Daphnia pulex: one gene and its partner. The protein of the gene in region 2 interacts with the protein of the main gene of each other region in a biochemical or structural test. Links are inferred from orthologs where the notes say so. Each region holds a gene or a part of one and is shown on either strand. Other genes may lie near its edges.

Region 1 (4,034 bases), about 7.2 Mb from region 2:
CTTCTACGGGCCTCGCGGTAACGCTTGTCGATCTCACCCAATCGAACAACGTTTCAATATTCTTATTTTGTCATTTCTTAACAACAGGGAAAAGTTGCCTGCACGACTCGGTCTACCTTCAAAGTCTTCCTTCCTACGTCCGTCACAACCTGGCAGTTGGTCAGGTGTGGCCAGAAGGCGATGTTGCCTTCCACCGCAAAATAGTGATGCCCACACTCCTCGTTCACGGACTAAAGGATCCGTTTGTCTCCTTGGTCGAGATGTGCGAAATGGAAAGAGTAAGTCGTTCTTGTTCATTTCAAACTCAATCGACTGGAACTAACTAGTTAACTTTGTGTACCCTTCTTTTAGACTATTCCACGTGCTTTCCTTGAGGTGATACCAGAATCCGGCCATGATATCATGTCGGATGCTCCAACTCAGCTGTGCAAGATGTTACGCAAATTCTTCGAACACTGGCAGCGCTGACGATAGTTCCCCTGTAATTTTTTAATTTTTCTAAAAAGGAACTAGACTCTTTGACTTATTAGTCTAACATGTAAACTACACCGTCGATCTACTTTTTTAACTGCTGTGCCTTCCTATTATTATTACGCGAGTTTTATACGCCTTTTTTCCTTGTATCTTTCATTTTCCAATTAAAACGATCCAATATACTCGAGGGAATTTCGCGGACCAAAAGAATCCTGTGTACCGATGTCTGTATATGTATTTACATGACTTGTTTATTTACACTTACAAGGTAAACAAACAAAAAAGAACAAGAACATTTTCGTGGCCGTTCTCAACTTGCGCGCAAAATTATTTATATAATAATAATATAAAGTATAATTTTTTTTTTTGTTTCACCGACAGTCTAACAAGGGAGAGGCTTTTTTTTTATCTCGGAAACTTCATCAGAGATGGGAGGAAAACGCCATCATCATGAAAGCAAAAAGGAAAATCATCGCGCTAGGATTTCTTTTAAAAAATGTGACGTGATTATGGGGGGGGGGGGGATCTCACTCATCAATGTGGACAAAGCACTTTTTTAAAATTTTTCTTTTCGAATCATACGCTTTCCCTAAACAATTTTGTGACGATCAATAATAGGATACATTTGTAAAGATAGACCGATCCTTCTGGTGAAGTTTTGGGGAGTTATCAATCGTGTGTGTGTGTGTGTGATAAAGATGCACGGTGGCATTGATGGAAGGGCAGATCCTACGTATAAATCCTTGTGAAAAAGTAAAACGAATTGACAGCAGACTCTAGTTGACAGTTTCAAGGCCTCATGAATAAAAAAATGATATGAAGTGGCTGCAACAACACGATCCGCGACAACTAGTTCATCTTCCTTCTTTGTTGGCGAGCTTGTCAATTAATTCTTGGAGAGGAGCCAGCTCCCTTCTATCAATTAAACTAAATTCCTGATAAATTTCAAATTGAAGTCGTTTAATACAAGATTTTAAAATATATTTGTTTCTTCGATCAAACTTTACTGACCTGGACAAAGTAGATGAAATGTTTGAAAGAGGTATTGAGGTGTGCTTCTTCCCCAAGCTGTACCACCTCGGGGAAATGCTGATGATAAATGTGAGCATAGACACGGAAAAGGCGCTTCAGTATAGTTTTGGCTATTGATAAAAAGTTTCTGGGGAATGGAACACCTGCCAAGACAAAGTCCAGTCTGTGTCACTATTGTTTACCATTTTGTTATCAGCATCAATAAAATGACTCACCGATTTTGGATGGAAATAGATTTTCATCATCCAACTGATCCTGCACCCAGGTCATGAGGTAGTCAATGTACTTTGGAGCAGAACATTTGATGGGTTTCTTAACTGTTTGACCATCTGCCCAGTGGTATTCGTACTTTGGGCCAGCAGACATGATGGGGCAGCTTTCTTCTGTGCAAAACTCTGTGATTGTGCCGTACAGCATGTTGATCTGATTGAAGAAGTCAACAGCTGGAAGGAGACAAAGAGAATGTCTAGTCGTGATTCGGGAAATCTACAAGAATGTGATTACTCACTGTTGACAGCGACCCATTCATTCTGATCTTCTCCATCTGGCAGCATGACTGCTAATCTCAGATTGCCTGAGCCAAGTGTGGCAGCTGCATGTTTCATCAAATCATACTGATGAGTTCCTTCAGGTATGTTCTTCTTGGGTTTGAACGTCTTGGACGAACGGCTCCCACTGCGATTGCGAAGCAAACGGCCGTCAGCCATGGATGTAAACAAAACAATTGATTAGAGACCAACAACCACAACGACTCTCTCTGGGCTAGTTCGTTTCTGACTGATAAACAACAAATGAAAACTTACAACAGAAAACTCATCTTGTTGTTTTTCTTTTTTCACTTCTCTCCCCAACGACAGTGCCCAATTTCAACGGCGCGGGGGAGGGTGGGTAATTTTGAATAGCGATCACAGTCAATAATGGCGATTGAAAAATGGAATAAAAACGTAAGATGTCGTCGATTTTTACAGATTTGTTGGCAGTTCCTCAGACGGGAAAAAGACTTTCGTTGTTGCTCAACCTAAAAATATTTTACTTTGTCATCAAAATTCTTCTGATAGATGATGTCATCACCACATGGTGAATAAATCCAACGACAGATGGCGACGAGGGCGGAAGTCCATTCGGAATTCCCCCCCCTCGTCACAAACAAATTTCCCAGAAATAATTCATTTTTTGAAATCAAAACCCCACAACTTTTGGATGGAATCCAACTCGTAAATCCCTCAATAATTCCACCCGAAAAAAAAGGAGTTAATCAAACAAGAGCGTTGCATTCGTTTTCATCGAGTGTGAACATTTTCCCTTTTGTTTTTCTATATTCAAACAAGTATCAAATTCCAAAGGGATTGATCTCCCACTGAGATGATGGCCCACCACCAGGAGCTTCTTCCCACAAATAAAAATTTTTAAAACAAAAAATAAAAAAGGAAAAAGAAAATGTGTATCAAAAAACAACATCAGGGAATAAAAAGAAACCCGTGGTGTGTGTGTGTGTCTACACCTCCGCTGGAAAAGTGTAGAGAGAGTCAAGGAAAAAGTCATCAACAACCCGGCGCCAATGTCCAGCAGCGACTCTTATGTTATTCCAAGAAGCTCAGCAATTTCCCTTTTCCCTCCGACTCCCGATGTGTGTGTGTGCACTTCGACACCTGTACCCCCCGTCATCCTTTAACCTTCCGAATCGCAATGCACACACACAAGTTCTTTTCTTTTGTTTTTTCTTTCAACCATCATGAAAAAAAAATGTTTATTTCTCCAGCCAAAGACCCCAAAAAAGGTGAAAACAAATTCCGAGATTCCAAACAGCAAACCAACAGGTGCGACGACGCGACGCGACTCGGTCGGAATGGCCAATAGATTGGAGGCGCCGCTGTGGCGTCATCCTATAGCTGCTGCCCCCCGTCAGTCGTGTGTATAGACTTTTGTTTTTTAGATTTTTTGGTTAAAAGGACAGACGCCAGTAGCTTGTCTTTTGTATTTTTCCTCTATCAAAATGGGCCTACGGATAAACAATAATTTATTCTAAAATGTTTTGAGCGACGGATGACTTATGGATGGATTTAGTTTTATCGTACAGGCCTACTACATTTTGGTCGTAGTGTATACGATAGAGATGCACGTATTACAAAAGATTTAAATTTATCAAATCAAGTGTGCGATAAAAGAAAAAAGAACATTTCTTATCATCATCAAAGTTGGGGACAGCAACTGATTGGGGAGGCTGAGTGTTGATTGAATTTCATGTTCAGTTATTTAGACACAAACGGCTCTATAAGGGATGGATCCTTTCGAGGCTGACGAAATCACACCTGTTGTTGTTCCGGAACCTATCCGCTCGGCAATTTATCCGGTTGAAGTGGAAGAAGAAGACGTCATAGATGAAAATGAGCTAACCCCTGGTGACGAGGTATTATTTGAACGTGCCAGTTTACAATTCAATGAAATTTAATTGATTGTACAACGATAAATGAAGAATAACAGCAAAGGTAAATCAAAGAGTAAATTCACATCCGGATTCAAGAATGTCC
Region 2 (4,486 bases):
GCCGACCGGGCGGAAGAGCTGGAGCCGGACTGGTCCCACGGGGTCCCGGAATAGGTGGTGCATTAGGCACGGGTGACATTCGTTTGAGCATCTGTTGAAAGTTGCTAGGATAATGTTGGCTGTTTGTTGATTTAGATGCAGCCGATGGAGGTGGGGGCAAAGGAGGAGGTGGCGGAGTGGCACCTCGAGGCGGCGGTGGTGGAGGTGGCGGATCTGACGACGACGGGTAGGCATTTCTTGACGAATAAGGCGGTGCTTCGGGTGCTACGTGACCACGAACGAGTCCCAGACCATTAAAATAGGCTGGGCTATCAGAACGGTTAGATGAAGCGGCCGAACTGGTATCAAAAGCCGGACTGCTCCTGGGTTCTCGCTCAAAACTCGGTTTCCGGTGTACCTGCTGCCCCGATGAAGGCGGAAACGCTCCTGTGAGGAATGCAAAGATAACCGTTATTGCGTGACCAATTTATTATTATCAGCTAGCGGATTTGAAATCACCCTTGAAATCTTATCAGAAAAAAATATTGACTGCGTGACTCACCTGTCGTAGCGGAGCGTTGCAGAATTTGGCCGTCGGACCGCTGTAAGTAGCCGTCGCTTCCATTTTCATGCTGAATCAGAAAAATAAAAGGTTAAACGAAGTCAACTTTCCTTCATGCCTCTACAGCTGTTTATTTCTATTCTCGACTTGGCATTTCTAATAAAAAGGGCTCTTTTCAAGACAGCCATCAAAAGAAAAATTCAATTACAGACGATATGGAGGAGGAGGCCAGGGACGAGTGTATAGTGAAAGCGGGTCTAGCTATCGGGTTTCTAACAACCGTTCAAGAATGCCAACAACTCCCTCTTTCTCTTTCCAACCACCTCATCCGCCCCAAAAATAGCCCAGATTCGGTTGAAGGCACACACACATGTGCAAGAGTGTAGACCATCACCAAGATGGAACGAGGGAGGGCTGTCAAATAGCGTACGCCATCAGTAGCGCAGCCAGCACAAACAGACCAACTGGCGGCTCTCTGCTACACACCGACAGGAATGCAATCCCGCAAAAACGAATAGATCCGGTCGAAACCCGAACCCTTATTTTCTTCTTTTCGCTCTGTGCGGCCATTCAACAGGCGGGTATCGATAATGTAGGCCATACAATGTCTCCCGGAATGTGTGCGTGTGGTTTGATGGAACACATAGGAATTCCGTCTACTAAGGTGCAAGGTCAATGAGGCGTGCGTTCGGAATTCTGGAGCCATTCGTCACACCGTCGCTCTTTCTCTCTTTGTGTGTCCTGTTGATGGTTACGAGTCCATCTCTCAAGCCACGCTAGTCAATCAGTATGTGTGATATCAGTTTTTGGGGTGTTGCAACGGTCGTCTAGTCGTATAAAAGAGGAGCGCCTCCAGCACAGGCATATGCCACGAACCATCTGCTCGGTCCATATCCCTCCCCTTTCTTCTTGTTTCTTCCGCTACGACACGCCAACCATCATTTTCGGGTGGCCGCTCTCGGCATTCTTTTTCGACCCAACATCGAAGAAATACTTGGCGCGGTAATGGACTCCCTCAGGCGCGTGCTCGGTTTGCCATCACCTTCATAAATCTCTTATCTGACCGAACTCTCTGAGGTTCATTACAATGCGAAAATTTCAAAACAAACACAATCAGTAACCTCACAGTCGGACGCAAAAATTCCCCTGAAACGCCCCTCCTTCCATATATACCTGATGGACACTAGACAGTACGGGGATTTTCAGATTAAGAAAAGGAGGAAAAATTTAGAATAAAAAAAACGACAACAAAAAAACGACCGTTTGTCCGGACCTATCCGACGGCATAACTTGCCCTTCCTTTTGGCCGGAAGAATGCCAGACTCGTAGGAGAATTTCATTCCTATCATTGTTGCATCATCACATGCAATGGTACATAATTTTCATGGGCAAACTAATCTTGACATGAAACTACTGCAACTGAAATATCTGCACAACCTAACAATCTATTCGTGTTACATGAACTGTACTTAAAGAGTATGGTATCTCATAGAAAACATAATACATAGACAGCATAAGAGATTGATATAAGTTACCTCTATGTATCCAGAAGAAGAAGTCGAATAAGGGTAAATGTGTTGTTGGTAGGAAATGTGTCCATCTTTAGGTATGGTAGGCAGAGGACTACCATTCTCGGTGGCAAAGGGTCTGAGAGAGTTGCGAATTTCTTGCAGGGCTTTCAAGTGATAGCCTGTCCGATCGGCTTTTCCAACTGCGTTGCTCATGCTAGTTTCAGCTCCAGGGCTCATACTGGCATGCCCATAGTCTTTAATGAAACTGACATGGCCAGAAAGCTGCACTGATCCACATTGTGTCACTCACTGTAGTACTCATAAATTGACGAGTTCATTCACTTTGAGAAATTTCATCCAAGGTCAGGGTGTGCAATAATCACAGACCTGCAAGATCAAACAACAGAATTAAAATTTACTAGAAACACATTTTGCAAAATATCAACAGTCGTGAGTCACGCAGGTCTAAACTAATCACAACACGAGAAAGAAAAAGAACCATGACTGTAGCCTCCAAGACTGTTTGGCATTTTCCGCCATCTTGGAAGAACTTTTTTTTTTAGAGCGAGCACAGGACGGCCCCAAAGAAAACTCGAGTTTTTACTGACGAAAGATTTTCAATTTTTAAAAGCACTACTACTTACTTGAACGGTTATCCATTAGCAATAATACGTAGAACAAACATTAAAATTTCGATGCAACATTAAGTCCACACACGGACAAAACAACATTCGTCACGAAAAAGCTCGGAATAACACTGAAGCCAGCGCAGACTATAAGCCTAGTTGCCCCTCTGGCGGTTTCACTTTGAAGAGAGAATTTTACCTCAAAGGCTCCTTTAACTCAAACGCTGAGCGTGATCCTTTCAAATCCTGTTCTCTGAATAAGTTTTATCAACCAACTGTTTCATATTTCTCATCTAAAAGATAAACAAAGGTTTTACGATTTCACAAATAAAAATTCGTTTTTTCACGTGAATACAAAATTTCAAGGGCATTGATTGAGAGCGTCCCCTTAGCGGAGAATGTTGGTACTGAAGCAGACGATAAAAACAGAAAAGAAAAAAAAACAACGAGGAGTTGATTTGATAGACGCTGTTGTGTGTTATTCATTTTCAATTTCGAAATTTCTTGTTTCGAATTTTTCCACAGAATTCCTGATGTCCAACAATACGAAACGAATAGTCCCATGGATTTCCATGTAAAATTTTATTAAGTTCTATAATACTAGAAATTGTCAAATAGGTTAATTTACGGTTAACATTTAAAATAGAAGTCACGTGGTTCAAATGCCAAAAGCTAACGTACACGTACATGTTAAATGTTTCGTACCTAATTACCTATGCTTTTATTATTTAAATATTTATTTTATAACTATGAAAAGTAGTTTGCTTGTTATTCATGAACAATTGTCTTTAGGGAAGAGTGGACACGGGTTTATCAACAAGTGTACTCTAACAAAATTGAGGAGAGATGGGCGGGACTGAATCAAATGACAATGTGGAAATCTAGGTAATTCATTTATAAAATGATAATTTTGATAAACTAATTTTTATTTACATTTTTTATTAGGGTTGACAAGCTATCTCTAGGTGTTGAATGCTCTTTGTATTTGTTACAAGCAATTTTACGTGATGAGGAATACAAGATGGATCCTAACAGTGCCCTGTCTGAAAACGATGTGGTTTTAATGTACTCCACTGCCATCATTAGGTAACTCTTACTATGTTAAGTTACATGTTTAAGTATCTTTCAATACTTAAACCTATTTAAATCTTTGTTCACAGGTTCATCAATTTGATATCTCATTTAGGACAAGTAGATTTAAGACATCAACCCATATCCGCCATTGCCGAAATGGCAGGGATTCCCGACTGGCTTGTCAGTATTCGGCACGAGGCTACCCACGCCAAGATGCCTTCTTTGGATATCTTGAGGCCAGGTATACATACCGCCTTTCTACGATAACTCTTAAATTTTAAAAATTCTTCATCTCAAATTTTTTTCTCGAATTTCTTAGGCGCCAACTTGGCTATGGATTGGTTGAAGGTAAAGACACTTTTTTTTCTTAACTTTCCTTTATGCGCAGACATGAATGCAAATTTAATAATAGGAAAATTATTGGCGTACCGAAGAAGAAGATAGCTATGATCTTTATTGGCCCGAGTCCAAGAGGGCCACATCTCGAATGATGCTTGCCAAAACGAAAATGGCAGAGGAAGGGAAGAATACGGGTTCGGCTGCCTCCAAGCATGCAGTAATACCTGAAGAATTGCAACTAGCCGTGTCTATGCTAGTAGTGCTTCTTAAGGAAATGGGCTGTCGGAATTCTTTCAATGAAATTCAGTCGCGAGACCTTCACCAGTACGCTTACGAACTTTGGCTCCAGACCAAGATCCCTTCCACTCCTTTGAACAAAAAGGAAATTGCCAAAT

Evidence for each region.
Region 1: of the proteins of serine/threonine-protein kinase Warts-like (region 2) and MOB kinase activator 1B, one has a biochemical effect on the other in vitro, tested with the Drosophila melanogaster proteins (2 studies listed by BioGRID). The link is inferred for Daphnia pulex from reciprocal best matches to the Drosophila melanogaster genes wts and mats.

Annotation. Positions count from the first base shown.
Region 1 is NC_060026.1:14,193,979-14,198,012, reverse strand, and holds MOB kinase activator 1B, read right to left. Parts: upstream 2,578-4,034; 5' UTR 2,324-2,577; coding exon of another isoform or gene 2,310-2,323; 5' UTR 2,214-2,309; coding exon 2,015-2,213; intron 1,950-2,014; coding exon 1,722-1,949; intron 1,650-1,721; coding exon 1,486-1,649; intron 1,410-1,485; coding exon 1,329-1,409; 3' UTR 692-1,328; downstream 1-691. Other genes in the region: protein ABHD8-like, read left to right, coding at 1-17, 88-278, 352-468; uncharacterized protein LOC124203813, read left to right, coding at 3,785-3,913, 3,980-4,034. UniProt on the Drosophila melanogaster protein: Coactivator of Warts (Wts) kinase in the Hippo/SWH (Sav/Wts/Hpo)signaling pathway, a signaling pathway that plays a pivotal role in organ size control and tumor suppression by restricting proliferation and promoting apoptosis.
Region 2 is NC_060026.1:6,948,751-6,953,236, reverse strand, and holds the start of serine/threonine-protein kinase Warts-like, read right to left. Parts: upstream 3,046-4,486; 5' UTR 2,697-3,045; intron 2,440-2,696; 5' UTR 2,290-2,439; coding exon 2,077-2,289; intron 612-2,076; coding exon 542-611; intron 427-541; coding exon 1-426. Other genes in the region: uncharacterized protein LOC124206172, read left to right, coding at 3,077-3,252, 3,471-3,563, 3,624-3,764, 3,839-3,993, 4,072-4,100, 4,165-4,486. UniProt on the Drosophila melanogaster protein: Negative regulator of Yorkie (Yki) in the Hippo/SWH (Sav/Wts/Hpo) signaling pathway that plays a pivotal role in organ size control and tumor suppression by restricting proliferation and promoting apoptosis.